Linked DNA regions of Ovis aries. The protein of the gene in region 4 purifies or fractionates together with the protein of the main gene of each other region. This does not show direct contact. Links are inferred from orthologs where the notes say so. Each region holds a gene or a part of one and is shown on either strand. Other genes may lie near its edges. The genes, in order: BAZ1B, HSPB1, HIPK2, DAXX, RNPS1, MAP3K5 and ADNP.

Region 1 (4,020 bases), on a different chromosome or scaffold from region 4:
GTTCTCCTCTATGAAATTACTAATAGCCTAATAAAAAAATATGCCAACCTGCCAACCACACAGTACAATAGTTTAAAAACCATCCTCAAAGTGATTCCACTTGTAGAAATTCCCAAGGGAGCAATTTCTCTCCCAGCAGGTTAACACAATTTAAGAACTCCTTTGTTAAGAGTTCTAAAAACTGGTAGGGGAGATTTTAAAGATGAAGAATTTTTATTAAATACACAACACTTTAAAAGTTACACGCATTAGTGTTCAACTGTCATCATTAAAAGAAATGCTTCATATATACCATTATATTTCAACAATTTCAGTAAATGATACGAAAAAACCCAGGCTGCCAGTTCTAAGTTAGCTATCTACAGCCATTTTTTAAAAAACAGAGCTCAGTTCCTGTTAGAGACTCAGAATGTGTCTCCTCCCTATTGCAGTTTCTTATACTTCACTAGGACCAGACGTGAAAATCAACATCCAGTAATATTCGTGTGATAACCGTCAACTGCTCAAAAGCCATGTGAAAAGGATACAGTATATTTCCACAAGTAATTTTTTACTTCACTGATGTTTTGGAATGTTATTTTAAAAAAAAATACGGCACTTTTAGAATAATGCTGTGTTTGGGAGAGCTGGAGCGCTTCTCCAGAACGATCCTCCCAAAGCCCTAATAGGACAAGAACCAGATTACCACTTCAACCTCTCCCTTAAACACACCCTAACTTATACCACAGGCTTCCCAGGTGGCTCGGTGGTAAAGAGCACAATCACCAATGCAGAAGACACCAAGAGATGGGAGTTCGAACCCTGGGTGGGAAATGGCAACCCACTCCAATATTCTGGCTCGGGAAATCCCAGGGACAGAGGAGCCAGGCAGGCTATAGTCCATGGAGTCGCAAAGAGCCGGAGCGCACACACGTAAACATCTTGCGCTACCAGCTGGAACAAACAGTGGATTCACATCATTAAAAGCGAAGGAACTGCATTCCATGTTCCTTTTGTGATCTACTTTCAGGCATGAGGTACCAAGAGCACTGGATTCTCCTGACTCTTCCATTTACAAGCCTGTGATCTCAACTGTCTGGGCCTACCAGGCATACCCAGGCAGGGGAACCCCACCATCTCCAGGATCTAGTTCCGCTCTGAGATACTCTGGCTGCATTTCTTCCAGAGTCTTCCTACAGCATGGACTCATTTTCCAAGGCCCTTCCTGCGTGAACACCTAATATCCTCAAACTGCACTGAAACAACCCCATAAAGCACTACATTAAAGGGAGGATCAATGAGAAATATAATCAAATGATATGGCTCACACTCGCACTTCCTTCTACATGGGAGCAAACAGACACTGCTGAGAAATCAAGTCCTTTCAAAGGGAAAGCGGTGATAAAGCTAACACAGTAGCCTTCACTCTTGAAGCTTTCTCTACACTAAAAAATGCTACATTCGAAAACCTTTTTTACGGTTAAGATTCAAAAAAGATGCATCTGGCATCCATAAAAAAAGTAAGAGTGGTACAAGTTTAGCTAAGAGAGTTGACAATAAGCTTGACAGCAAGAAACCTTAAGCAATGATTAGGATGCCTCTCATTTAAAACATCAGCCTCGTGTACCTACAATACAACATTAAAACTGTAAGCGTGTCTTTGAAAAACGCTGTTTAAAGATAAATACCGATATTCTACACCGTCAGAATTCCAAATCTGTGCAAGTCCAGGGATAGAAGGCATCGGCTCCTCCAAGGTAACTTTTTTACTGTCTTTCCTCTGAGTCTGGAAATTCATTCTTGATTTTGATCCCGTCAGTTCATCAGCCTCCAGTGCGCTCGGAAGGAGCAAAACACAAATGCTCCCGCAGAGATCGGGATGGGGGAAGGGGGGTGGGGGAGAACGCAATCGCGCCTTGTACAACCCGGATCACGAGGCCGCGCAAGTACGATTTCCAAAACTTAAGTGGAAGGTTTAATTTTAAAAGAAAAAAGCAGCAGCAAAGGAAACCCCATTCATCCCCGGTACTTAGGGCCTAACGCCAACCCCCGCTGGGAGTGGGATGGAGGGTCGCTCCTCCATAACGAGGCCCGGGGACAAAGTGCGGAGCCAGGGGAAGGATGGAGGGCTCAAGGCTCGGAGGCGGCCTGAGCCCGGCCGGCTGGCCGGCCCGCCCGCGCACCCCCTACCCCCCACCCCCCACTCCCGGATCTGCGGGCCCGGGGCTCGGGCTCCGGGTGCAGGCCCGCCGGCGCCGGGCTGGCTGACAGCTGCCACCGGCGCGGGGCTGCATGGCCCACCTCGCCCCACCCCACCCCGCGGGCGGCCTGGCCGGCGCTGCTGGAAAAGGATACTCCCGGGTGCGGAAGGCCTCCTGAGTGTGCGCGATCGTGAAGAGCGGCTCTTCGCCGGGAAGCGGCTTCACCAGGGGGAAGGGCTTGCGGCCCAGGAGCGGCGCCATCGCGGCGGCGGCAGCGGGGAAGGCGGAGGCTCCTCGGTGGACCCGCGGCGCAACACTAGGCCCCGCGGCCCGGAGCGAGCGCCTGGCTCCCGGGGGTGGGGTGGGGGAGGGGAGGGGTGAGAGGGCGGCGCGAACTCGGCTCCCTCACTGCTGGCGCCGCCGCGCTAGAGCCATGGAACGGGACCCACGGGCACAGAACTCTCTCACACACTTCCGCGCCGTCCCGAAGCCTCCAGCCAACCTTCGCTACGGGTCCCCACGTTCGGCAGTCACGACTCCTCCTCAGCTGCACCGGAGGAAATTATTGAAAAATGGCGGGAGATTCCCCTCCACCCCCCCGCCCGGCCAGCGCGCACACTAACTTGCTCCCCTGTGGCGCCGGTGGCGAATTCTCCAATAGGCGGAGAACTGGTCAGCACCCAGAACCTATTGGCTCAGAGGAGCTGCCGCTCTGCGGTTGGGTCCCGCCCCCTTCCCGGACCGCCTAGTTGGGTTGCAGCTCACTAGAGGGCAGTATGAAGAGGTGAAAGGTCACGTTATGTAAGCGCCAGTGACAGACGCGCGGGCCTCCGGCGGCGGAGTTGAAAGTGGGGAAAAATGGGGGACGGAAAGGCCGGGAATTCAGAGAGGTCAGGCCAGAAAAGCCCTCTAACATGTACTGATCTGCGCCATCTGTCACTGAAGGCGACACCGACATCCGGGCACCACTGTCCGTGTGGAGCGCCGGAGGGGGGAGGGGGAGCGCGCGGCCAGGGGCTTTGTCTTTCCACTAGGGCTCCGCCTCCTTCTTAAAGGCACCGCGCTCGGCCACGCCCGGAGATGCGCGGGTGGGGCTCACGGAAGGAGGGGTTGGCGGGAAGTAACCCGGAGACTTCATCGGCATAGGTTCTGTTGAGGTAACTTGAGGTTCAGGTTGGGTCCCCCTAAAGTTAACTTCTAGACTAGAGTGGGGTAATAGTATAATGCTTGCTTCTAGGAGTTTGCTGGAAAGGGTAATATAGAAGCTTCGTTGGAAAAATAGATTAAAGGGCATGTCTATTAAAGATAAATTCATTCACTCATATAGTCTCTTTTAGCACCTAAAATGTTCAGGGCCCTACGTGGGGTGCAACAGGGGAAGAAAATAAGACAGAGACTACTGCTTTGAAAAAAATAAGAGATAATCACTGTTCTATGTGATGAACGCTATACATAGGGTGCTGTAGAAAAACAACCGTGCCTGGAGAGTGAGAATGTTTGAGCTACTTCCCTAAGTAGACTGCAGTCACTCAAAATCTGTTTGCCCATCCAGTACAGTCAGAAACACACTTATTAACCATTCATCCCTATTAAATTGTTTTTTGTTTATTGTTCAATCGCTAAGTTTTATCAGACTCTGTGACCCCCTGGACTGCAGCACACCAGGCTCCCCTGTCCTTCACTATCTTCCGGAGTTTGCTCAGATTCATGTCTATTGAATCGGTGCTGCTACCTAATCATCTCATCCTCTGTCACCCCCTTCTCCTCCTGCCCTTAATCTTTCCCAGCATTAGGGTCTTTTCCAATGAATTAGCTCTTCCCATCAGAGGGCCAAAGTATT
Region 2 (3,406 bases), on a different chromosome or scaffold from region 4:
TTTCCTCATTGAAAAAGGAGGGATACAGGACACATGTCAGGAGAAGGAAGGCAGGAGAGAGAGATTGTTAGGATTATGGCAGGAAGCTAGGGGCAGCATCTTTTCCCAGAGCGGGTAGTGGGGGCGTGGATCTCACAGGCGGTCAGATCGGAGGAGGGGCCGGCCTCAGGCTCCAAGCAAGTTTGAAGGAATTGCCCCCTCTCCGTCTGCGGGAATATTCAACAGAACAGGATCGAGGTAATAACCTGCCAACAGGGAAAGGAGCATTGGCCCAAATCACACAAACAGCAAAGCCCTGACTAGATTCAAGGTTGCTGCATTTCAAGTTCCCCTGTCTAGGGCTCCTCCAGAAAACTAGATATAATGGGGAGACTTGACCATAACCTTCTTCCTGACCCCTTCTCAGTACTGGCCCTCAAGGTTTGTGATCTGAGTCTACTCCACTGGGGTTCAGTGGGCAAATGGCCAAACCTACACATACCATTGCCTCTGCAACAGGGACACATACATGCTTTCCTTCTTGCCCCCTCCTTCAACTTCAGGGGCTAATAATAATTATAGATAATATATTATCTATATATATTATCTATATATAAATATAGATAATATATTCATTATCGTGTACCCTGGACTAAAATGTTTACTTGCATTGAGGCTGAATCTTCAAACCAACCTAGCGATGAAAGCATTATCATCACCACCATCATCCCATTTTCCCGATGGGGAAACTGAGGCAAAAGACTCTGAACTTGCACAAGTTCATCCAGTGAGTGGCAGAACCTGCATGTGAACTCAGGCGGTCTACCTCCCGAGACCGCCCTAACCACGCTGCTTCTTAAGGCATTATATCACAGACACACTGCCTTCCAAATCCTGGCTCGCTCTGCCAGTTCCTAGTTGTGCGCCCTGGGACTCACTGCTCGACCTCTCTCTCTCCCCTTGGGACTCACTGCTCGACCTCTTTCTCTCTTTCTCTCTCTCCCTCTCGGCTTTGTCCTCCCCGACTGTCCACAGATAGAGGCCCAGCGCTTTAGCACCCAGGCCTCCGAGCGTCCAGCAGTGGGCAGTGCTCCGACATCGAGGCTCTAGTCATTTGTTTTCTCGAACAAGAGAAGGTTCCAGATGTGGGCAGGGCCTTCCTCGCCCCGCCCCGCGCCCCGGTATGCAGTGGAGGGGAATGCAGGGGGAGGGGCTGCCCCCTGGCCCGTCATTGCCATTAATAGAGACCTGAAACACCGCCTGCTAAAAATACCCGGCTGGAGACCCATAAAAGCGCTACGGGGTCCGGCGCCCGCCACTTCTCCCGCTTCTCCGAGCCTACTCCGGACGCACCCAGACTAGCCAGCATGGCCGAGCGCCGAGTGCCCTTCTCGCTCCTAAGGGGCCCCAGCTGGGACCCTTTCCGCGACTGGTATCCGGCCCACAGCCGCCTCTTCGACCAGGCCTTCGGGCTGCCCCGGCTGCCCGAGGAGTGGTCGCAGTGGCTGAGCCACAGCGGATGGCCGGGCTACGTGCGCCCGCTGCCCGCCGCAGCGATCGAGGGTCCCGCCTACAGCCGCGCGCTCAGCCGACAGCTCAGCAGCGGGGTCTCCGAGATCCAGCAGACCGCCGACCGCTGGCGCGTGTCCCTGGACGTCAACCACTTCGCCCCCGAGGAGCTGACGGTCAAGACCAAGGACGGCGTGGTGGAGATCACTGGTAAGCACCCCCTGGCCCCCGCCCCAGGGACGCCGGCCCCTCGCCTCTCGCGGGTCCCGGGGAAGAGCTCTGGGTTGAAACATGGGCGGGGAGCCGGGAGAGGGGGCCGCTGGAAAGTGAAAACTTAGCCGAGGACGGGCGGTGGGGGGGAAGGCGGGGAGCCCCCAGAGCGGGGCCCGGCCTCTTCGCCCTAGCCCTGGTCTGTATTCTCTGGAGTTGGGGTTTGCTGGAGTTCCTAAGGGATCTTTTAGCCCTAAAAAGTCTCCACTAAGGAAAGCAACGCCCCCTTCCAGCGGAGACTCCCCTCAACCCCAGCCCTCGGACCTGAGGACCTGGCCCCCAAGGGACCAGGCCCCCCCGCCACGCCCCACCCACCCGGGCCCGCAGTCGGTATGAAGAGGGCGTCGCCCTCGCCGCCCTGCCCCCCATGCCCCCCACGTCACGGTCCCTGCTCCCAGCCCGGGTCCGCGGAGGGGGCGTGTGCGCCTGCCCCGAGCCGCGCTTCCACCCCCACCCCCCACTCGCCAAGCCCCTGAACCCGAACTTTCCAAAAGCTTCTGAGTTCCCCAAAGCTTCTGAGTTCCCGGGACAGTCTCGGGCACCCAGATCCCTCCGTCAGTCTTGCCAGCCCGGAGTCCTGGCCCGCAGGTGGGGCGCGCTGGGCTGCGAGCCAGCGGCTAGGCCGCCCCTCCCCGCCTCCTCTGACCTACTTCCCCTCCCCCTCCTCCCAGGCAAACACGAGGAAAGGCAGGACGAGCACGGCTACATTTCCCGTTGCTTCACTCGCAAATACACGTGAGTCCTGGCTCCGGATCTGGGGGGCGGCGGGCGGGAGAGGGGCGCGCGGGGACGCCCTGGTGTGTAACTCTTGTCCACCCTCTTTGCCCGTCCAGGCTGCCCCCCGGTGTGGATCCCACCCTGGTCTCCTCCTCTCTGTCCCCTGAGGGCACACTCACCGTGGAGGCCCCGTTGCCCAAGTCAGCTACCCAGTCTGCCGAGATCACCATTCCCGTCACCTTCCAGGCGCGTGCCCAGCTTGGCGGCCCCGAAGCCGGAAAGTCCGAACAGCCGGCAAACAAGTAAAGGCCCTTTGCCCAGCGGCCCACCCCACAAGTAGCCATCACTGACCATCCTCACCCGCCAAACCTCTATGTTCTTTTGATACGTTTGCCTTCTGTTTTTCTCAAATAAAGTTTGAAGCCACTGCCCGCCACTGCCTCAGACCCTGCTGGTTTTGTGAAGGAAGAAGGGTTGGTGCTGGTTTGATGTTTGCTGAGGGCCCGCTGGGCACCAAGCCCCAGGCTGGGTCCTGTGGGTGCAGTATCATCTGTCACTGGGCACAGCCCTGCCCTCCTGTACCCCTTGTTCATTAAGAGAGAAGCAGTGATTGTTCACCGGAGTTAAAACGCCCAGGGCTGGAGGGGGAGCAGGGGAAATTATGAGAGGCACTTGACCCAGGCTTGGGCACTCAGGAACCACCTGGGCAAGGGGGCAGGTGAGGGAAGACAGGGCAGGGCTGGGGGAGAGGGCTTCCTGGGAGCTCAGATTCCTGACTTCATCGTAGAGGGTTTGGACCAGGTAGATTGGAGGGGAGGTGTGGCCACCCCTGGCGGCTTTCTGAGGGGCGATTCCCCCAGCCCAGCCCATGTAGGCAGCACGGGACCTGGGTCCTCAGGTCTGAGAGTGCCCCGCAGAGAGTGATGAGCAG
Region 3 (3,500 bases), on a different chromosome or scaffold from region 4:
CCCATCCCCAGCGCTGCGCCTAGCTCATGACAGAAGTGAAATAAATCTTTGTTGAGTGAAGGAATGGAAGTTTCACATTTTCCAGCCAACGGTGTTACAATCCATCTTCCTGACCCCAAACCTGGAGTTCTCCCATCACCAGAGCAGGCGGCCTGGTCCCCAGGCTACAGACCCACCCCCTGGCCTCCTCCTCCTACAGGGACATCGGACCACCTTCTCAGAGCATCACTTTCATCCCACTACCCTCTGTTGCACAAATGCATTGGTGCTTACTCCATGTTTACAGATGCAACTGCAACCCCTTAGTCTGGTCGCTAAGACCCCAGCATCCCGGTGCCAGCTTATCCTTGTGGTCAGCTCTTCCACCCACCACGGATCCTCTGTTCTGGCCAGGTGGGCAGTCCTCCAGTCTGCTGTGAGTCTTTCTGGGCATTTTGCTGGAGCGACTTCATCATGTGTGCCCCTCTCTCTCCTTTACCTGCATCTGGATTCTGTCCGTCCATGACGACCTGACTCCCCTGCCATGCCTTTGCTCTTAGCCCCAGCCCCACCCTGCCAGGAATCCCTCCCAACTCTGAACATCTACGCCAAGAATCTTACTTGGCTCTGATTTCACGTGACTTCTAATCATCGTTTCCAAGTGCACATGTCCTAATTTCCCGACTAAATCATGACCACCGAGAGCAGCAATTTTATCTCCCTGGCAGAGACCAACACGGCACACGCTCTGTGAATGCTGCTGGACATTCAGCATCTCTTATCTCAGGGCACACGGCCTTACCTGTAATATCTAGACTGTAGGTAGGTGGAGCACACAGCCTTGGACACGTGACTGGCAGAACCGAAGTCAATGACCTTCACCCTGTATGGCTGTCTGGATGGATCTACCAACATGATGTTCTCCGGTTTGAGGTCGGCATGGATAAGACCTAGACTTTTCAGTTTCATCAGGGCGGTGGCGACCTGCTGGAGGACCGGGCGAATGTACTTGAGGGGCAACGGGCTGAACTTGTTCTGCTTCAGAAAGTCATAGAGGTTCTGCTCCAGCATCTCGAACACCAAGCACGTGTGGTTCTTGTGCTGGAAGCACTCGTAGGCACGGACGAAGTTGTAGTCGTCGGCGCTCTCCGTGCTCAGGCGGGCCAGGATGCTCACCTCGATCTGACCTTGGCGGGCGTACGACGGGTGGTTCTTCAGGATCTTGATGGCCACAATCTCATTGGTGCCCCGTTTCCAGCACTTGACCACTTGCCCGAACGTCCCTCGGCCCAGGAACTCTAAGACCTCGTACGTGTTGGTCATGGAGCACAGCACCTCATGCTGGACCAGCTGGTAATCCCCCTCGCTGTTGGAGCCGCTGTTTTTGGAGGTGGCAGTCGAGGTGGTGGCAGTGGCTACGGTGGCCCCGCTCGCATTGTTCTGAATCATGGGCGGGTGCTCTTCGATGATCTGCACGCTGCTCGTGTTCTCGATCTCCTCACTCTTCCGCTTGAGTCCACATTTTTGGTAGGTGTCAAGAAGGCTCACAGTGCTGCGACGCATGAGGTTGTGCGGTCCGCCGAGGACGGGCCCGGAGACGGAAGTGCTGCTGGCTGAGGTCACGACGATGTGCCCGGTGCTTCCTGGGAAGATGATGGTCTGCTCGTACGGGAGGCTGGGGTTGGGGATGGGCAGGGAGGCGCTGACGGTCGCGGCGGCTGGCTGGGACGGTGGTGCGTTCTTGCTCGGGCCGTACACTTTGCTGTGGGAGCCGTACCCGGTCATGTCCCAGTTGGAACTCGGCTCTACTTTCAGTTTCTTCACGCTACAGAAGGCACTTGATTGAAGGGTGTGAGGGGAGAAAACTTGCACATGTGAGGCCATACCTGCGGGAGGAGAGAGAGAGATGTTAGTCGCCCTTGCGTGAATGAACGTGACATGGCCCCTTGGGTTCTGATCGGCGGTGTGGGTCCTCGAGAATACTGTCTTTCCACTTCAAAACAAGGGCAAAGGGGCTTCCCTGGTGGTCTGGGGGGTGAAGAATCTACCTTGCACGACAGGGGGACGCCTGATCGATCCCTGGTTGGGGAAGATCCCACATGCCGCAGAGCGACTAACCCCGCGTGTCACAGCTACAGAAGCTTGCACGTCCTAGAGCCCGTGCTCCACATCCAGAGACGCCGCCGCAACGAGAAGCCCGCACACCGCAACTAGAGAGGAGCCCCCGCTTGTCACAACTTCAGAAAGCCCGCATACAGCGATGAAGACCCAGCGCAGCTAAAAAATTAATAAATTTTAAAAAAAGGTTGGAAAATCGACTCTGTTCCACCCGGAAGCACAATCTGGCCACTAAGCCTGTGGGCCCGGGGAGTTCCGGTAGAAGACTCGAAGGGTGGGAGTACGGCCAAGTGTCGGAGATGGAATTAGAATTCCAGAATTTAGCTTGTTATGTTGGGTTTTTTTCCTAATAAGCATTGTCTGCAATAGAAACAAATTCTTCCTCAGTTCTCATCGGGTGGCAACCCAGTTAAACCTGAAGGCTGCCTCAGGTGGCCCGGTTACCTACTGTATACTTAGCTGTCTCACGTGGTTGGGTACTCCCTGCCCATACACAGGCCCTGCAAGTGTCAGGCTTGCTCATTTGAGGAAAAAGCTTCCCACACAGGTCCAATCACAGGGCCACCCATGATCTGCTAGCTTCCGGAAGAACCATAATTACCCCCTGGTTTCTTACTCACCTTAAACCATTCTGTAGGGCTGAACTGACCAGCAGTTGGTCTGACGTTTTTACTGAGATAGTCTGAAATCATTTTATCAACATTTTTTTTTTGGGGGGGGGGGAGTTGGCTAGGGTAAAGGGTAGCATAATTCATGGGCTCTATTCACTCACTTTTCCTGCTAAAGTCATGTATCAATCAATTTATCTAGAAAGTACTATTATTTCATATCAAAACCTCACCCACAATTTAAGAAACCTCAGTAATCTAGAAGACCACAACTATGGAATAGCTGTGCAATTTGTAACCATGGTGATGCTGGACACAAACAAAAATTCATAGACAATGAATTAAGGAAAAGTAACGGGGTGATGAGGAAGGGTAAATCCTTGCAGGTAAAAGCAGAAATAAACACTGCCCATCTTCTAAAGTGTAGTTAAGAAACATTTCCTATAAAAGCACACAGAGAGTGGGGCTTCTCTCAAGCACCATTGGTGTTTAATGATCCTAGTGTGTGTGTCTTTCTGACCCCCTAGCATTGCCTGTGGGTGGTTATTTAACATTTTCCCTTTGACCTCATCTACCTTTTCTCTCAGCAACAACCCACTTTCCACACTGTCCAGCAGCCAGAGGCCAGCAGCCTTGCTTTCCACCTCTAGTCTCGTCATTTCAAAACATCCCTGAATTTGTCCCCATCCTCCATCCTCTCCTCCATCTCTCCGGTTCAGGAGAAGAAGGGTCTCCCTGTTCTGACACTAAAAGTTCCCCCAATTCTCAGGATTCAGCCTCTCTCATTTCCTTTTG
Region 4 (4,070 bases):
TGAGCCGCTCAATGCGCCTGTTGACCTCTGGGTAACGGGTACCACGGTAGGGGATGCGCTGCTCTATGACCCGGCCTGTCAGTGAAGAGCAGTCTTTCAGCTCACACAGCCGCCCAAAGAGACGGATCAGCTTACGCTTCAACCTTGCTTCCTGCAGGTAAGTGGAGTCTGGGTCATCCAATTCTGAGAGATCCAACTCCTTTTCTTGCAGCCGCCGGATCTCTGCCACATACAGTGCCAGCAGCTGCTCCAAGCGCTGGATCTGCCGCCGGGAACCACGGGTCCTTGGGGCCTCAGAGCCAGTGGTCTCAGCATTTGGGTCCGAGGAGGGGTCTGTGGGAGGGTTATTCCCAGAGGGTTCACTAGAGGTGGTGGCAGCAGGGGCCAGGTTCAGCTTCTTCTTGGCTGAGTGGGCCTTGAGAACCGTGCAGAGCTCGTTAATGTAGACATAGAGCTTAGCTGGCCGGTTCTGGGCCCGAGAGAGGACCCGAGACAGGATGTTGCAGAACTCCGCCGAGGCCAAAAACAGAGGGTGGGCCCGCTGCTGCCGGTTATAGAGGAACGGGACCACCTCAGGGTGGTCCGCCGTCTGCGTCTTACACAGTGCAAGGAACTGGAAGGTTCACGGGGGAAAAGGGAGGAGAAAAAGACAAAAGGATAGGGTTGAGAGAAAGGTGAGGTGGGGTTAGTGGGGGAGAAAGGACAGAGCCAAGCAGCCATCCCCCTCCCTGGGGCACGACAGTCTTCTCCCCTAAAGCTCACCTCTTCAAACAGCTTCTCATTCTCCAACTTGTAGCATTTCTTGCCGCCCGAACTACTGCTTCCTCCAGCCCCATGGGGCTGAGAGGAGCCAGGGGCTTCTGCCCTGGGTGAGGCCGGATTAGGGGGTGGGTGGGAGGGCCCTGGCTGAGCAGCTGCTTCATCTTCATCATCATCATCCAGCACGATGATGCTGTTAGCGGTAGCCATAGGGGATCAAATCCCCCGGAGGGAGGAAGTGTTGGGGATTTCGTAATTCCTGCTGGAAGGGGATGGGGCCTCAGACAGAGCCCCTCCAGCACCGCCCCATCCCTTCATCTCACACGTTTTCCAGTCTTGGGTTTCAAAAGCACCCAGCCATGCCCAACAGTGTCCTCATTTCCTAGCTTCAGCAAGCATTAGTACTGTACGTTTTTCCGGCCCTTTACTAGGGGAGTTCCAAACCTTCTGAAAACCTGAAGTCCCACCTCCAGCTCCACCCCCCACGCATGTATCCGGTCTTTCAGTCTCGTTTTCCCCACTATTTCTCAGAGTTGCCAAGTTGAGTCTTCCTCTCAACCCCTGGACGACCTCTCTCGCTGCACTACAGATTTCCTTGACATTCTCTCGAACAGACACCACAGCCCCGCTGGCACCACCGTTTTCCCTGTTCGCTCTCTCTCACACATATCAAATCTATACTCTCACCCCATTCTGAAAGATAACCCCAACTCGGAGACCCCTTGAGAAGGAGGTTCCCTCCCAACAATCCATTCCCTTTTCTCCTACTTAAATTATCTCTATATTCCACCCTCTGATGGGTCTCCTCAAACCGAAGCGCTAGGTTGAAGATATTTCACCCCAAGTCCCCTCCTTCTCACCCCACCCTAATTTCCCCCATTCTCTCTCAGTGACCTGTAACCAATCGTGAGCTCCACGCTGGGCTCTCCCGATTTCTCTCAGATCCCAGCCCTGAGTCCAGTCCTTCCCCTAAATGAGCTTCCCGCCAAGTCCCCCTCCCCCAGTTCAGCCCCTGGCCGCCCCACTCCCCTTCAGGGATAGGAAGGAGGATCCCACAGCCTGCCCCTCAGACTCCGCGCCGGGGACTCCCCAGTACCTCTCCCTCGACAGTCCTGCCCCCGCCTTCGCTCCCCACACCGTCCGGCCCCCACCTCAGAAACGGTCTCTCGAGGCGACCCTCTCCGCGGATCTCAGAACCTCGCATGGTTCCCTCCGTCTTCCTTCCCCCTCCCACCGCAGGCCCCACTTCTTACCGGAAGCCGCGGAGCTTCCGCCCACACGCTCTGGGCGCGGCCATATTGTCGCACGGAATCCTGTGCCGCCGGCAGGCAGGCAGGCAGGCAGGGAGGGAGGGCCGCCCCTCCTAGAGCCTCCCCTGCCGCCCACCTCGTCTGCGGCTCCTTTCACCCTGACCTGCAGGGGGCGGATTTGTCGCCTCCGGGCGTCCTGAATACCTGGGGGCCGCCATCTTGGCGTACGGCTCTGGCTGCGCCGGGAGCGGGGCCCGCCGTCAGTGGAGCTCTTTTCACCCGGTGCTTCCGCGACTCCGCCAATCAGAAACTTCCCGCATCCCGGCCCAACCACCGCTAGTCGCGTGCGGGGAGGACTGATCCACCTTTCTACGTGGGGGGGCGGGGGGCCGGGTCGGGGGAGGAAATAACGGAACAGCGCGGGGTGAGGAATTGGGCCCTCCAAGGCTGAACAGGGAGGCACGGAAAGGCAGGAGTGTCTTAAAAGGGAAATGAAACCTTTCCTAGCCGCTGGGCTTTTGACAAGCCTTGTGGCGCTACTTTCCTACCTGCCAGGTCCCGGTTTCCGCGGCTCAGTCGACTGTACCTGTCATTTCTTTCTGTGGTCTGCGCGCTCCCTTGCAGCTGCCCAGAAGCTACTTCTACATCCAGGTGCCTACATCTCCCAATCATGAAGTCGTAACACACGCATACAAACGAGCACAACACGCTATACAAATGTGTTCTTATTATTGCGATTGTTGGCGTGCTTTCCAAGCTCCACCACAGAAGTAATGACCAACCAAGTAGGTGGGACCTAGTTGGTTCTCCGCCGTTTTCTGGAGGGGGTTCCCGAGGCGCAGGCGCTGATGACAAGGAGGCTGTGCTTTGTCCAGGACCTCTAGGGCCTGAGGACAGGCAATGTGGGGAGGGGGCTCTGAGCAGAATCTGTAAGAGCTGTGAGAAGAAACGAGGCTCGAGGCTCGTAAAATACCTTGAGTCTCGTCTCCTCCTCTTCCTCTGGGAGAGCTGACGAAGGAAGAGAGAAGAAACCAACATTGGCGCCCGCCTCGCCCACACCCTCACCCTAAACCAACTTTACGGAAACTGGAGGGGCTCGAAGAGGCAAAGCTGGGCCCAGAGGTGAACTTCTGAGGAAACCGGAAAGGTTAACATGGTTCCAATCTCTCAGTTTCCCGCATCCTGGAGAATTCCACAGAGGGTGAGCATCTTGCCACTTTCTAGGACCACAGTCTCTTACATCCCCAAGCCCTCAGGAGTTCCAAACCCTCAAACCCTCACTCCCATTAAAGAATCCTACACCACTTCTCTCCAGTCGTCTAAGCCTGTAGTCTTAAATTGGGGAACACGGAGACTCGCCTAAGGATACTTGGATTTGGGACATATAAAGGATTAATTTCCAGAGTCTCAGTTTTCCCAAAATTTGTTTTCCTGAATAAATGCTTGCACTAGAGCTTCTCCTTCCTTTTCTCTTTTACAATAGACTTTCTCCCTCTCTATTTAAAAAGGAAAAAAAGAAAAAAGGTATAGTTCTTAACCATGAAATCTAGGGATAACTTTACCTTGTTTTACCTTGGTTGTTTTTTGTTTGTTTTGGGCCACGCCCTGAATCTTGCAGGGATCTTAGTTTCCCAACCAGGGATGGAACTGGCCCCCAGCGCAAGCAATGAAAGCACCAAGTCCTAACTGATGGACCATCAGGGATTTCCCTTACCTTGTCTTAAATAGAAATGTAACAATATTGCAATGTAATTATCCTCTAATTTAAAAAAATGACATGTAGCCTATTTCTTTTAAGGCATCATAAACACCATCTCGTCTATCTCATTTTACATGTACTTTTAAGTTATGAAAATGTGTACAATCTTTATGCTATTTTATCACTTCTGCTCTCATAATAATTGTAATGATAACCCAGAAGAAATATTTCTAAAAACCTAGAGTTTTATGGTCACAAGAAAGAATAATATTTTTCATCTCAATTATGATATGTATGTGTAAGAAAGCGTGATAGGGGACTTCCCTGGTCATCCAGTGGTTAAGACTCTGTGCTTCCATTGC
Region 5 (4,198 bases), on a different chromosome or scaffold from region 4:
TCAAAAGCTGAGCATAGGAGCAGGCAACAAGGAACACAGTCAGCAGTGTGCATCTACCAAGCCAGGAACACTTGGGCAGGGTCCATTTCCTCAGGGGATCCTGCCCCCACAGGAGACACGTGAAGAACTGTCGGCTCAGCTTGTCTTTTTCTTAAGCAATGGTGTGGGTGGTGGGGTCCTGTTCTTTGACAGGTAGTACAATGCCCGTTTCTCACCAGTTTTGCGGTAAGCCCTCTACAGTCCTTTAGAGACACTACAGGAGCACATTGGCAGGCAGAGCAAACCCTAAGTGACAGGATTCGACCTCGCTTCACTGCTGGAATCTTTGCAGGATACATTGGATAGATATTATGACTGGAAGCAAAAACCATTTCAAGTGACTGGTACCAGTATCAAAACATTTAATAACCAAACAAATGAAACGTCCCCCATGAACATTTAAAAAGTAGTAAAGTGAGACAAAACATAACAGAAATGTAACCTGTAGAATCTAGGTGGTGGTTCTGTGACTATTTGGTGCACTAAATTTTTTCAGCTTTTCTGTATGCTCCCATTTTTGGAAATGGATGCATTCACATGTAAGGGTTTAGCTAAGTTCCAGAGCTGCAGCATGTACTCAGTAAAAGGTCATCAGTAAACACTACTCAAGAACAAACTATTAATTCATTATGTGCTCTGTTTCCTGGGGCTGTTGCCTTTAAGTATTTCCAGTGAGGTTTTGCGCAATTTGCTTGAGTTGTAGAAGCAAAGATCTCGGGATGTTAGCCTCAACTACTCCTATCTCACCTTCCTGTAAGTAACCTGGACACAGCTCACCAATCGGAATCCTGTTTCCATGTGCGCAGTGCTGCCAAAATGCTGGATAAATTTCTGACTCAAGAAAGAGTGCCCAGCTGTGGACAAACAAATAAGAGTGCACTGTTCTTTTCCAGGGCTATAAAGTCTTTTTAGACATTATGTCTTAAAATGAGAGGGCATACACACAAAAATAAGCCAAAATTAAAAAAGAAAAAAGGCACCACAGACACTCAGTAAGGTGCCTGTAACACTAAGCAACATTGTAGCGGGCTTGCTTGGACAAATAGTGAGTATAATTCAGTGCTTACGAGTCTGAAGTTCCCCTGCTTGGGGTCTGATTCAAAGCTTTGTTGTGTCTTTGTATCAATCCCTTAATCATTCCGAGCCTCAATTTCTCATCAGCATTAAGGAGAGACAGACAGTTCCTACACTTCATAGCTGTCAAGAATATAAACAAAAGTAACCGATAAAAGAGTCTTGGGGACCTAGTTAAGGCTCAACAGATGTTAGCTAATATTAGGAGAAAGGCTTTGGAGGCTTTTCTGAGGCAAACTCTTGGCTCTTAAGTCACACAGCCTCTGAATGATCAGCAGGGGTCCCTGGACTGCCCCCATTACGATCACCAAGAGTAGCACTGTCCAATAGAAAGAGAGCCAGCTACAAGAGTACTCTAAAATTTTCTTGGAGCAACGTTCCAAAAAAGCATTAGTTAACAGATGAAGTTAACTTTGAGTAATGTATTTATCTGACACACTACACCCCACACATCATCTTTTCACCAATCAGCATACAAAATCATTAATAAAATATCCATGCTTCCCCATGCTAAGCGTGTTAAACACATCAATTTGAACTAGGTACATTTCAAGTACTCAGTAGCCACGTGTGGCCAGAGGCTACCTTATTACACAGCTGACCTAGAATACATATTCCAGGGCCCCACCCCAGTCCTAAAGATCTGCTCTTTGTAGTTTGTGAAAACAAGCACCAGCGTTTATTCTTAAAACTCAATTAAGACCAGAGTAAAGGAAGGCTTTTCTGGGTGTGGCCAGAGGGCTAGAAAGCAAAGGTTGATTATGTTTACACAAGTGCAGGTAACAGGACCGTGGTTACCTCCCCCATCCTCTGGAAAGGTGCGCGTCCAACAGCCAAAAATAGGAGAGAACAATTAGTCATATCTCGCGTACATGGCGTTTCAGCTCACATCTTCGGAGCACCTTCTCCATTTACAAGTACATTTCAGGCACAATTCATGAGAGATTGGAAAAGGCCACGCCTCTGCTCCGTCGATTTAACCTTTCCGTATCCTCTCTTTTGGGGTTACCGTCAAACTGGGCTCCAAGACATTAGGGGCCGTATCCCCAAGGGCTAGCACCGGGAACGACACACAGGAACCCCGCAGACGTTCGTGGAGTCGATGTTTGAAATTAATGGCTTCAAAGGGAGGGTCAGTCGGTCACCCAGGGGCTCCCAAAACGCATCTCGTACCCACCGGCCCCGGCCCCGGCCCCGCACGCGACCTCAGCACCCCGCGTCCGCGTTCACTCACAACTCCCCAGTCCAGGAGCCGGGCCGCGGGCGCTTCCAGGGCAGGGCCCGGCGTTGCGGGCCTGGGTTTCCAGCCCGGTGAGAGGGCCCGGACGGCGGAGGCCGAGTTCCCGGCCGCTCCGAATCCCGCGGGCCTCACTGGTCCCGCTGCAGAGCCGAGGAAACGAGGGCGCCCTTCCGCCCGCCGCGGCCCCGACCACTTCCGGGCCGCAGCTTCGGCGCCTCCCACTCAGCCCGCCCCGGGCCACATTCTTTCTTCTCAAACCCGGAGCGACGCCACAGGCCCCACCGTCACCACCACGTGGCCAAGGAGCAGGCCGGCTCCACGATGCGCCCCGCCGAACATGGCGGGCGGGTCCCAAAGCTCGGATGGGGTCGGATTCCCGGTACTTACATCTTCCCGCCGCCGCGACCTCCTCCCGCTCTTCTCAGCCTCAGAGGGCGGCGCGGCTCTGGCGTCAGGATTAGGGAGCGGGAAGGAGCGGTCGTCCGGCGCGCAGCGATGACGTCGAGCCCCTCGGCCAATGGGCGCGAGCGAGAGTGTTAAAGGGCCAAGGCCTGTTTAGGAAGAGACGCGTCGGGGCGCTTACTCTGGAGGGTCGACCGGGGCTCCCCCGGGCGGGCTGCACGCCTCGTGGGGCCATCAAGCTGGCAGCTCTCTGGGGCTGCGAGGGCTACTTCGTGAGAGCAGTTTGCTGGCTGGCGCGGAGAGGGTTAAGGCGGCCGCGGGCCCGCCCCTCTCCGTGCGCATGCGCACCGGGCGGGCTGCGGGCCTGGTGGCGTCCCAGGTCGCTGGGCTCCCGACCCGGCTGCTACGTGGAGGGTCCCGGGCGGCCCGGCGGCGGGGTTGGAGAAAGGGTGCACAGGTGCTGCACGCTCTGGCGGCTTGCCGTGGGCACCCGTAGGGCGGTGGTGGCTTCGCGAGCAGGGCAGTTGCGGGGATGGGTTCGTGCAGTTACCGCTCATGGCGTGAGGGGTGATGCTGCAGGCGCAGATTCTGTGCCGGCGGAATTGTACCAGGAGGACAAGGCAGCGGGTAGTGCAGCCAGAACGAGCGGGCTGCAGAAGGCAGGGTGGAAGACAGTGTGCAGAAGGGAACGCGCCTCCGAGGCGCTGACCCTGCCGCTGAGGCCTGCAGTAGAAGGGCATGTCCGGCAGAAGGAACAAATGGTGCGAAGGCTCCTTGGAAGAAACCGGGGCTAGGAAGGTGGAGTCTAGCGTTTGGAGGAACAGAGAACCTGTGCAACATACGGCGCCAAGGCTTCATCCTGCACTGTCAGAGCCTTCTGGCAAAGGCAGGAAGCTGAGAGTTAGAGGCCCAGGACCAGGCAGGAGGCTGTCGGAGTAAAACCCGGCGCTGAGGGGGCCAGGGCTTGCGGATGTGTTTACCGCTGTGTCCCTCCCCTCTCCGAGCAGCGCCTGGCAGGCAGTCAACGTTTCGTGACTGTTAGTAGGGGGAGCGGAGAAGGCAATGGCACCCCACTCCAGTACTCTTGCCTGGAAAATCCCATGGACGGAGGAGCCTGGTGGGCCGCAGTCCATGGGGTCGCTAAGAGTCAGACACGACTGAGCGACTTCACTTTCACTTTTCTCTTTCATGCATTGGAGAAGGAAATGGCAACCCACTCCAGTGTTCTTGCCTGGAGAATCCCAGGGACGGGGGAGCCTGGTGGGCTGCCGTCTATGGGGCTGCACAGAATCGCACATGACTGAAGCGACTTAGCAGCAGCAGCAATGGGGGGAGAGAAGGTGCGCTCCCACTCTTGATGGGCATGTGAACAGGTAGGTCCCACAAGGAAGAGAAAGGAACAGATTCAAGGCCCTCGTGGGGGAAGGAACCAGTGTAGCTTGG
Region 6 (3,500 bases), on a different chromosome or scaffold from region 4:
GAACTCAAGCACTCTACTCAAGACTGCAGAGCTAGTTAGAGCTAGTTAGCAATCATCTGGGAAGGGACCCAGGCTTCTTGATCTCAGCCCAGTGCTCTTTCCATCATGATGAGACTGAACAGAAAGAAAAGTGGTACCTTAGTCTCAGGCATTTTAAATCATCACGTGTAACATAGTAGAGAACATCCATTAATGAATAATCCTCAGCCAAAAACTGTGGAGAAAGTAAAATACACACAAAAGTAAGATGTCTTTTGCACTTCCATAAGTAGCAAACTATCCATAATGTAAACATTGCAATAATGAAAAATAAATCTAAAAGGAAATTCACTAAAGACAGAATCTTTTGGAATTATTAGAAAAAGGTTCCCCCTATTACAAAATAATTACAAAGAATTACATCCACACGACTTCTAGGAGCAGAAAGATGACAAGTGACACAGTACTTCTGAATGGTCTTCTGATGAGCAGGTAAGACTTGCTTGTAATTATATCTGCTGCTTATAAGATAATGTTTGTATTTAAAAGGTTTAGTGCTTTGTAGCTTAATTTTTTCCCAGTGGGTAAAATGTGTTGTTTACACTTCATTTTGGAAAACTTTCCGATACTTAGTACAAATTCAGAGTCCTGAATTTAAATGAAGCTTTTTATTTTAAATCTTTCAAAAAGGTCAGTGATTTAGTGTGTCATCAATGACTACTCCTTAATTTTTATTTGAGTCTAAGTTAGAGGGGAAAATATTTTGGAAAATTTGATTGGATAAATTTTTCCCAAAGATGAGAAACTCCTTTTAATTTCTGTAATTTGCTTGCAGATTTCTAAGGAGACTCTTAAATTTTATTAAGCAATCTAAGAAATTATCAAGCCAAAAGAAATTCATCTGTTTTCTTAGTCATTTAAAAAATTTAAATATAAAACTGAAATCAACATAATATTAAAATAAATAATATTAAATACATAAATAGTATTAAAATAAATATTTCCTATTTATATAAACTATTTATTATTTCTATAAAATAATAGAAATATAACCTCTTACTGCACATATATGTGATCTTACAACATAAAGAAATCTATTCATGCTAACTACAAAAGTTCCCTATATAATATAATTTGTATTGAAAGTGTTTGTTTCTGATATAAGTTCAGTAACTAGTCTATTTCATTAAGTAACAATAAATAGCTGCTGCCCAGTGGAATTTAAGAATGTCACATAAGAATTTAAGAGTTAAAAAACAAGAGAAAGAATGAGAAGTGGAAGAACTTTTTCCTTTTAGTTCTTGTCTTGATTTTTCCTCTTCTTTATTTTCAATGAAACAGCACAAAAATCCTTACGGGTTCTGGACCACAGAGCTTTTTTCTGCCTCACTGTTTCTGTCCTCCACCCCAAATGGTTTTCCCTTTTTGTCTTTCCCCCATCCCAGAACAGACATACAGTTTATTCCTAAGCATTCCTTTAGACTCCAGCTTGCCAATCATCTTTTCAAAGAACCTTCCCCAACTTCTCCCTCCCTCTGTCTCCTAATACCTGATAACCTTTCCTTTACAGACTTGACGAGGACCCAATTATATTTGTACATGTGGAATTCTTTGATTATCGTCTGCCTACCCTAGTCTATGAGCCTCAGGAAGGCAGGGCTGGGTCAGTTTCTCAGCAGTGTATCCCCCGTGCCTGGCACATAGTAGGCACTCAGCATTAGGAAACTAGTGAAAAAATGTTTGTCTCATGGAATGTTTTCTTTACCCGACTTATAGTGTCTTCATCGGCTCCGTTTTCTCTCAGCCAGTCAGTAAGTTCAGAATCTTCAGTGTTTGTGCCAGGAGAACTGGAGTGACACGCAGGCAACCCAGGAATATCTAGGACAGCATTGGGGTTGGGGGATAAGGAGGGACATTCTTAGCTTCAGAGGTCATCTGATAGTCAACATTTACTGATACTTTAACAGACTTTTCTCCATCACAGGATAATTAATAGAAACCACTGAGATCGGCAGTCTACAAGATAATATAAATCAAACTCTTTGAGGCTGCTTAATATGCTAGTAAATGGAGGGTCACTAACAATAATTAATGATACTTCCACCTTGTGGTTTCGTATCAATTTTATAGCCTCAGAATAAAATGGTGCATCAAAATTATACTGTGTATTTTTCAGACAACAAAGATGAGCATAATTAGCAGAGAACCATATAATTATAATAATCTCTTTTTCCACTAGTTGCAATAATGTGGAAGGACCTTATATCTGAACAAAAAATAATGACTTTTATTTTCCTCTAAATGGGCTAAATAAGATTGCCTAAAGATTATCTTCCATCCCCAATTTCTCACAGAATAGATTTCTTTAAAGTTCCAATCTATGACTTAAAAAAAAAAAACAGATATAATTGACAAAACATTTTATTAAAGTATATTCAACTTATGACTTGCTATTTATCTTTATTCTACTTAAGCCTTGTCAAATTATAAAACACTAGAATACACAGAATACAAATGCAAAATGACCAAAATAGTATTATATTATTCTAGTAATTTCACTGTGAAATCCTTAAAAAGAAATAAAGACAAAAAAATGGAGATCCCTATTTACCTCAATAGTATATAATCTCAGGAAAAGATAATTACGAATCATTTTTACTGTACATATAAGAAATAATGGTTTGCTACAATTAAGAATTGGATATTTTTGTACAGCAATTTCTGCTCGTAGTTGTGGTACAAGTGACAGATGCTGAATAAGCCATGACATAAAGTTTGCCTGTTGGCTTTCTAGTTTTCTGTGGGAGTTTGGCTGAACACTATTACTTTAAAATTTTCTGGCTTTAAAAAATAAGTAAATAAATAAAATTTTCTGCTATTCACCTATTGGTTGGGACTTAAGCTTCAGGTGTTTAATTTCTTGGTCTTTCTCTTCAATAGCTTGATGAAGGAGTGCTTGTAATTCTTTCTCTTTCTGAACCAATTCTTCCAGTAATCTGCAGGAGGAAATTATATTGGTTGACAGGATAATGAAGTGGGAGCAGCCACAAAATGACCCTCTAGACAAAGGTTCTCAAGCTATAATGAACACAGACATCCTGGGGTTTTATTGAAATGCAGATTCTGATCCAGCAGATGGCTGGGGAGCAGGGTTAGTTAGGGAGCTCTGAGTTTCTGCATATGTAATAAGCTCCCAAATCCACAGACATCCAAGTTGAGGAGCAAAGCTCTAGAAAGTGGGCTTCCAGACAAGAATTTAAAACTTGCACCCGTAACTGGCTGATTCAGAGATGTTGTTCTGTTTCCTTCTATGACCATAATGGCAAACACATTCACATATGGTGTTCACCTGCATAGCCCCTCATCAAAAAAGTTGGTCAACACCGGTAATACAATAGGCAATGAGTGCAAAGAAGAAAGGTACTCACTTCCCTTTAAACTATGAAAATTTGAGAAGTAACTCTTCCCTGGTGGTTCAGACAGTAAAGAATCTGCCTGCAGTGCAGGAGACCTGGGTTTGA
Region 7 (3,500 bases), on a different chromosome or scaffold from region 4:
CAAGGATGTTTATTTTAGTGATTAAAAAGGTAACAGACAAAGGCCAAACCGAATCAAAGAATTTGTAACAAGAGCCTTGAGAGAAAGCCTTCTTGATGCCATCCTTGGTCTTCCACAAGTCTCCTCAGTGGCCGTGCCGCCATCTCTGCTGAGGAAGCCACGGCATCAACTGGTACAAGATGTAATGGACACACAGGACTGGAAGGCGTAATAAAGCAAGTAAGTATTTACATTAAGCACAATACAGCAATTTATTTAGATGCTTAAAATGAATACAAAGGGAAATAAAGATCACAAAATTATACATACTACAACAGTGTGTCATATATTAGATGGTATAAATGAATACACCAGGGTGGTGTTTAACTAAAGATAAAACTAAATATCCAAAACGCAGCACTCATTGGCCTGCTGCTTCAACACAACACACTTCCATACAGATCTAAAAGGTGTCAAAGTTAGTAGCTGCAAAGTCAATTCTTCATGTGATTTTTAGCTTAAAAGATTTCAGAAAACATCTGAAATACCAGTTTTTGTTTCTGTCAGCGGTAATGTCAAGGATATTCAGAACAAGAAAAATTCTATAATACAAGAAGAGTCCAGATATATATCTTATGTGGCTGGCCTCTGTCGCGAGATTGTACAAGGTTATGTGCAAAAACTAAGTCTGTCCCGAAGTCCACACTAGCGCAGTTTCAGGCTTTTGCTAGGTCAACTAGATACAGCGCTTATTACACAGCAAGGGCAACACTAAAAAAAGAAACGCATCTATGATGGCTACACAATAACAATATCGTAAGCATCACTTGAATAGGTCTAAAAGACTGTACAAATATACATTTCAACTATTCAGAATGAATACATGAAAAAAATTGATTTCCCCAAAGTCCACTGTACACACTGGACTGGCAGCTTGTGTGTTGGCCCTACACTACCATTTTAATCAGGAGAACGCTTCTCAAGGACGTCCAACCAGACACTGTTTTACAGAGGGAAAGAAATATTGAGAAGGCAGGTAAGACAAACCTCTGCTTTTTCTCGTGTGCGTTCATGAGCCACCAGCTTATTGGTTTTTCACATTTAGTTACTGTGTCTGTCACAGAGCGTTCTAAAGCAAGATCAGCCAATCATGTGTCACAGACTTAGAAATAGCCACTGGGATTGGAGTGGCCACATGTCCCCACCGCCTGATGACCCCGCACTCAGAAGGCAGTACCAGTTAGAACACAGCTTTGCAGTCATAACTGACAGAACAGAGTTCCAGGCTGCAGCATTTGCCACCAATGCCACAGAAGCCGGCCCTTAAGCCTGCTGGCTGCTCAGTTTAACCCCCGTCAAGCTGCCGTGCATCGGGTCAGCCACCCCATCAGTCATGTTGTCAAACTGCTCCCCATCCTCACTGTCAATTGTGCTGTTCTGCCACTCAATCTGTGGGTTGGATAAGCGCTCATCATTTTCAGTTGCATTCTTCCACTGTGACTGGTCCTTGGACCAAAACCCTTCAACTTTTCCATAGGAACTATTCTTCCACTTCAACTGCTCTCTGTCACCTTGCACGGAAGCCTTTTTTTTGGCAGCTGGCTTACTGCTCCTCGCGTCTTCACTCTGGGAAGACTCATCGGACCAGGTTCCTGTTTTCATCTCACACGTGTTGTCCTCAAAGTCTGACACCTGTTGGGAACCGGGGCCACTCTCAGATGGAGAAGCACCATCTTTCCACTCAACAACATCATCTTGGTCAACCTCACTATCAGAGGCATCATGCATTAGTTTGGTTGGCTCCTCAGTCAAATGAATAGTTTCATATTTTGAACCATCCTCCTCTTTTTGGTCTAGCTTCTCAGTTTCTAAAGCATCTTCAGAAATTACCTTCGGTATGTGTTCCTCTGGGTTATCATTAGGGATTTTAGGCTCAACTTCAAAAACAGGGTCAAAAGGGCTATCACTCCCATTGGATTCTTCCTCCAAATTTTCAAAACTGTCTGAGGAACTGTCATCTTCCTTCCCAAGATTGAGCTTTTTGTCTGCTGTTTTACTAGCATTGACTCTGGAATCCTTCTCATCATGATTTTCAAATAGCCACTCAGCATCAAAATCCATCTCATGCTTAACTTTGTTTAACTCTTTCATGTTGAAGCCCAGTAACACACCAGGCTTGTACTTTTCACAGTCTCTGACACACTTCTTCCTCTTGTTACTAAAATGGGAAGCAATGTCACTCTTCCACAACCATAAGCTTGCCGCCAGCTTCTCAATTTCTCTCCTGGTGGGATAAGGTTGTTTGTTGAAATATTTTGTTAGGAAGCTTTTCCTGGCTTCATAGGAATCATCTTCATGACCCTTAGGGTCTAAAGCTAAAACAACAGGCTCCTCAGGCTTCTCTTCAAAGAAGCCGGGTGAATCGCTATCTTCATCTAACTTTCGCTTCTTCAGCAAGGGGAACTCCATTTGCTCGTAAGTGCGCTTCACAGGTGCCAGGCCGGGGGACTGGTTCAGCCGCGAAGGTGCATTTGTCTTGTCCTGGCCGTTCTGGGCCTTGCCCACGCCCCTGCAGTGGACCAGGTGCAGGGTGATGGTCGAGGCGGTCATGTTGCTGGTGTACACGCCGAGGCAGTGGATGCACTTGTAGGTGAGTTTCTTCTCCACCGGATGGACTGTCTGAATCACCTGGTGCCTCTCTCGTAAGTGATGTGCAAGTGCGTCGGATATGGGTCCTTTCAGGATTGAAAAGCAAAGAGGGCAAAGGGTTTTCCCAACATCTTTCTTATAGGGCACTGCAGCCTGAGGTGAGCTTTTAACAGGAATATCTGCCTTTTCCTGCACTTTTGGCTGTGGCTTTGGAGGGATGGGTGGGTTATTTTGGGCATGGTAAGCAACAGACTCGGCAGGAGCATCCCTCAGGTTATACGTGGTTACAAGGAGATGGATGTTAGTGTGACTACCCTGCTGCAATGTCAAATCAAAACTCAGAGTGGAATCTGTTTTAGGTCCCATCTCTTCGTCCACGTGTACCATCCGCATGTGAGCCGCCATCTTTTCCACGTCATTGAAGGTTGACCGGCAATAGGGACACGACAGACCATGAATTAGCATATGGTTGAGCAGAGTGTCTGTGGGCAAATAGCGATTACAGTAAAGGCATTTGCTAGTGAAATTGTGTATTTTCATAATGTAGTTGGCTACTGCTGGGACTTTCTCAGCTTTATGTTCTTTTTCGAAGTGCACGCTATATACATTTTCAGGAAAAAGCTCATTACAGATTGTACATATTTTCCACTTCTGGGTTGAGGAAGTATTGGGTGGTGGAGGGCCAGTGGCAGCTGCAGTTGGCTTGGAGCTGGACTGACCTAATACTCTGGATGCCTGTGACTGGGAGAGGGATGGAGACTTTAACTGGCCTGAAGAGAGAGGCGGGGCATTCGGAGACTGCAGTGAGTATCTTGCTGGTGCCTGGGTCCTCTGCTCTGACCCAAGACCGTAAGATCTTCCATTTCCACTTG

The links.
Region 1: the proteins of DAXX (region 4) and BAZ1B purify together in Homo sapiens (co-immunoprecipitation; 3 studies listed by BioGRID and IntAct, with this or other methods). This does not show direct contact. The link is inferred for Ovis aries from reciprocal best matches to the Homo sapiens genes DAXX and BAZ1B.
Region 2: the proteins of DAXX (region 4) and HSPB1 purify together in Homo sapiens (affinity purification with western blotting; 3 studies listed by BioGRID and IntAct, with this or other methods). This does not show direct contact. The link is inferred for Ovis aries from reciprocal best matches to the Homo sapiens genes DAXX and HSPB1.
Region 3: the proteins of DAXX (region 4) and HIPK2 purify together in Homo sapiens (affinity purification with western blotting; 3 studies listed by BioGRID). This does not show direct contact. The link is inferred for Ovis aries from reciprocal best matches to the Homo sapiens genes DAXX and HIPK2.
Region 5: the proteins of DAXX (region 4) and RNPS1 purify together in Homo sapiens (co-immunoprecipitation; 3 studies listed by BioGRID and IntAct, with this or other methods). This does not show direct contact. The link is inferred for Ovis aries from reciprocal best matches to the Homo sapiens genes DAXX and RNPS1.
Region 6: the proteins of DAXX (region 4) and MAP3K5 purify together in Homo sapiens (affinity purification with western blotting; 7 studies listed by BioGRID and IntAct, with this or other methods). This does not show direct contact. The link is inferred for Ovis aries from reciprocal best matches to the Homo sapiens genes DAXX and MAP3K5.
Region 7: the proteins of DAXX (region 4) and ADNP purify together in Homo sapiens (affinity purification with mass spectrometry; 4 studies listed by BioGRID and IntAct, with this or other methods). This does not show direct contact. The link is inferred for Ovis aries from reciprocal best matches to the Homo sapiens genes DAXX and ADNP.

What each region holds. Positions count from the first base shown.
Region 1 is NC_056077.1:34,135,574-34,139,593, reverse strand, and holds the start of BAZ1B (tyrosine-protein kinase BAZ1B), read right to left. Parts: upstream 2,801-4,020; 5' UTR 2,442-2,800; coding exon 2,335-2,441; intron 2,270-2,334; exon of another isoform or gene 1,668-2,269; intron 1-1,667. UniProt on the Homo sapiens protein: Atypical tyrosine-protein kinase that plays a central role in chromatin remodeling and acts as a transcription regulator. Involved in DNA damage response by phosphorylating 'Tyr-142' of histone H2AX (H2AXY142ph).
Region 2 is NC_056077.1:34,787,788-34,791,193, forward strand, and holds HSPB1 (heat shock protein beta-1), read left to right. Parts: upstream 1-1,296; 5' UTR 1,297-1,346; coding exon 1,347-1,698; intron 1,699-2,429; coding exon 2,430-2,493; intron 2,494-2,591; coding exon 2,592-2,781; 3' UTR 2,782-2,906; downstream 2,907-3,406. UniProt on the Homo sapiens protein: Small heat shock protein which functions as a molecular chaperone probably maintaining denatured proteins in a folding-competent state. Plays a role in stress resistance and actin organization.
Region 3 is NC_056057.1:104,612,432-104,615,931, forward strand, and holds part of HIPK2 (homeodomain-interacting protein kinase 2), read right to left. Parts: intron 1,866-3,500; coding exon 782-1,865; intron 1-781.
Region 4 is NC_056073.1:7,643,072-7,647,141, forward strand, and holds the start of DAXX (death domain-associated protein 6), read right to left. Parts: upstream 2,801-4,070; 5' UTR 2,558-2,800; intron 2,328-2,557; exon of another isoform or gene 2,013-2,327; intron 1,982-2,012; exon of another isoform or gene 1,856-1,981; intron 1,022-1,855; exon of another isoform or gene 1,019-1,021; 5' UTR 970-1,018; coding exon 763-969; intron 614-762; coding exon 1-613. UniProt on the Homo sapiens protein: Transcription corepressor known to repress transcriptional potential of several sumoylated transcription factors. Down-regulates basal and activated transcription.
Region 5 is NC_056077.1:2,304,638-2,308,835, forward strand, and holds the start of RNPS1 (RNA-binding protein with serine-rich domain 1), read right to left. Parts: upstream 2,801-4,198; 5' UTR 2,743-2,800; coding exon of another isoform or gene 2,741-2,742; exon of another isoform or gene 2,348-2,740; intron 1-2,347. UniProt on the Homo sapiens protein: Part of pre- and post-splicing multiprotein mRNP complexes. Auxiliary component of the splicing-dependent multiprotein exon junction complex (EJC) deposited at splice junction on mRNAs.
Region 6 is NC_056061.1:61,837,324-61,840,823, forward strand, and holds part of MAP3K5 (mitogen-activated protein kinase kinase kinase 5), read right to left. Parts: intron 2,976-3,500; coding exon 2,863-2,975; intron 1,858-2,862; coding exon 1,745-1,857; intron 215-1,744; coding exon 138-214; intron 1-137. UniProt on the Homo sapiens protein: Serine/threonine kinase which acts as an essential component of the MAP kinase signal transduction pathway. Plays an important role in the cascades of cellular responses evoked by changes in the environment.
Region 7 is NC_056066.1:78,821,179-78,824,678, forward strand, and holds the end of ADNP (activity-dependent neuroprotector homeobox protein), read right to left. Parts: coding exon 1,303-3,500; 3' UTR 227-1,302; downstream 1-226.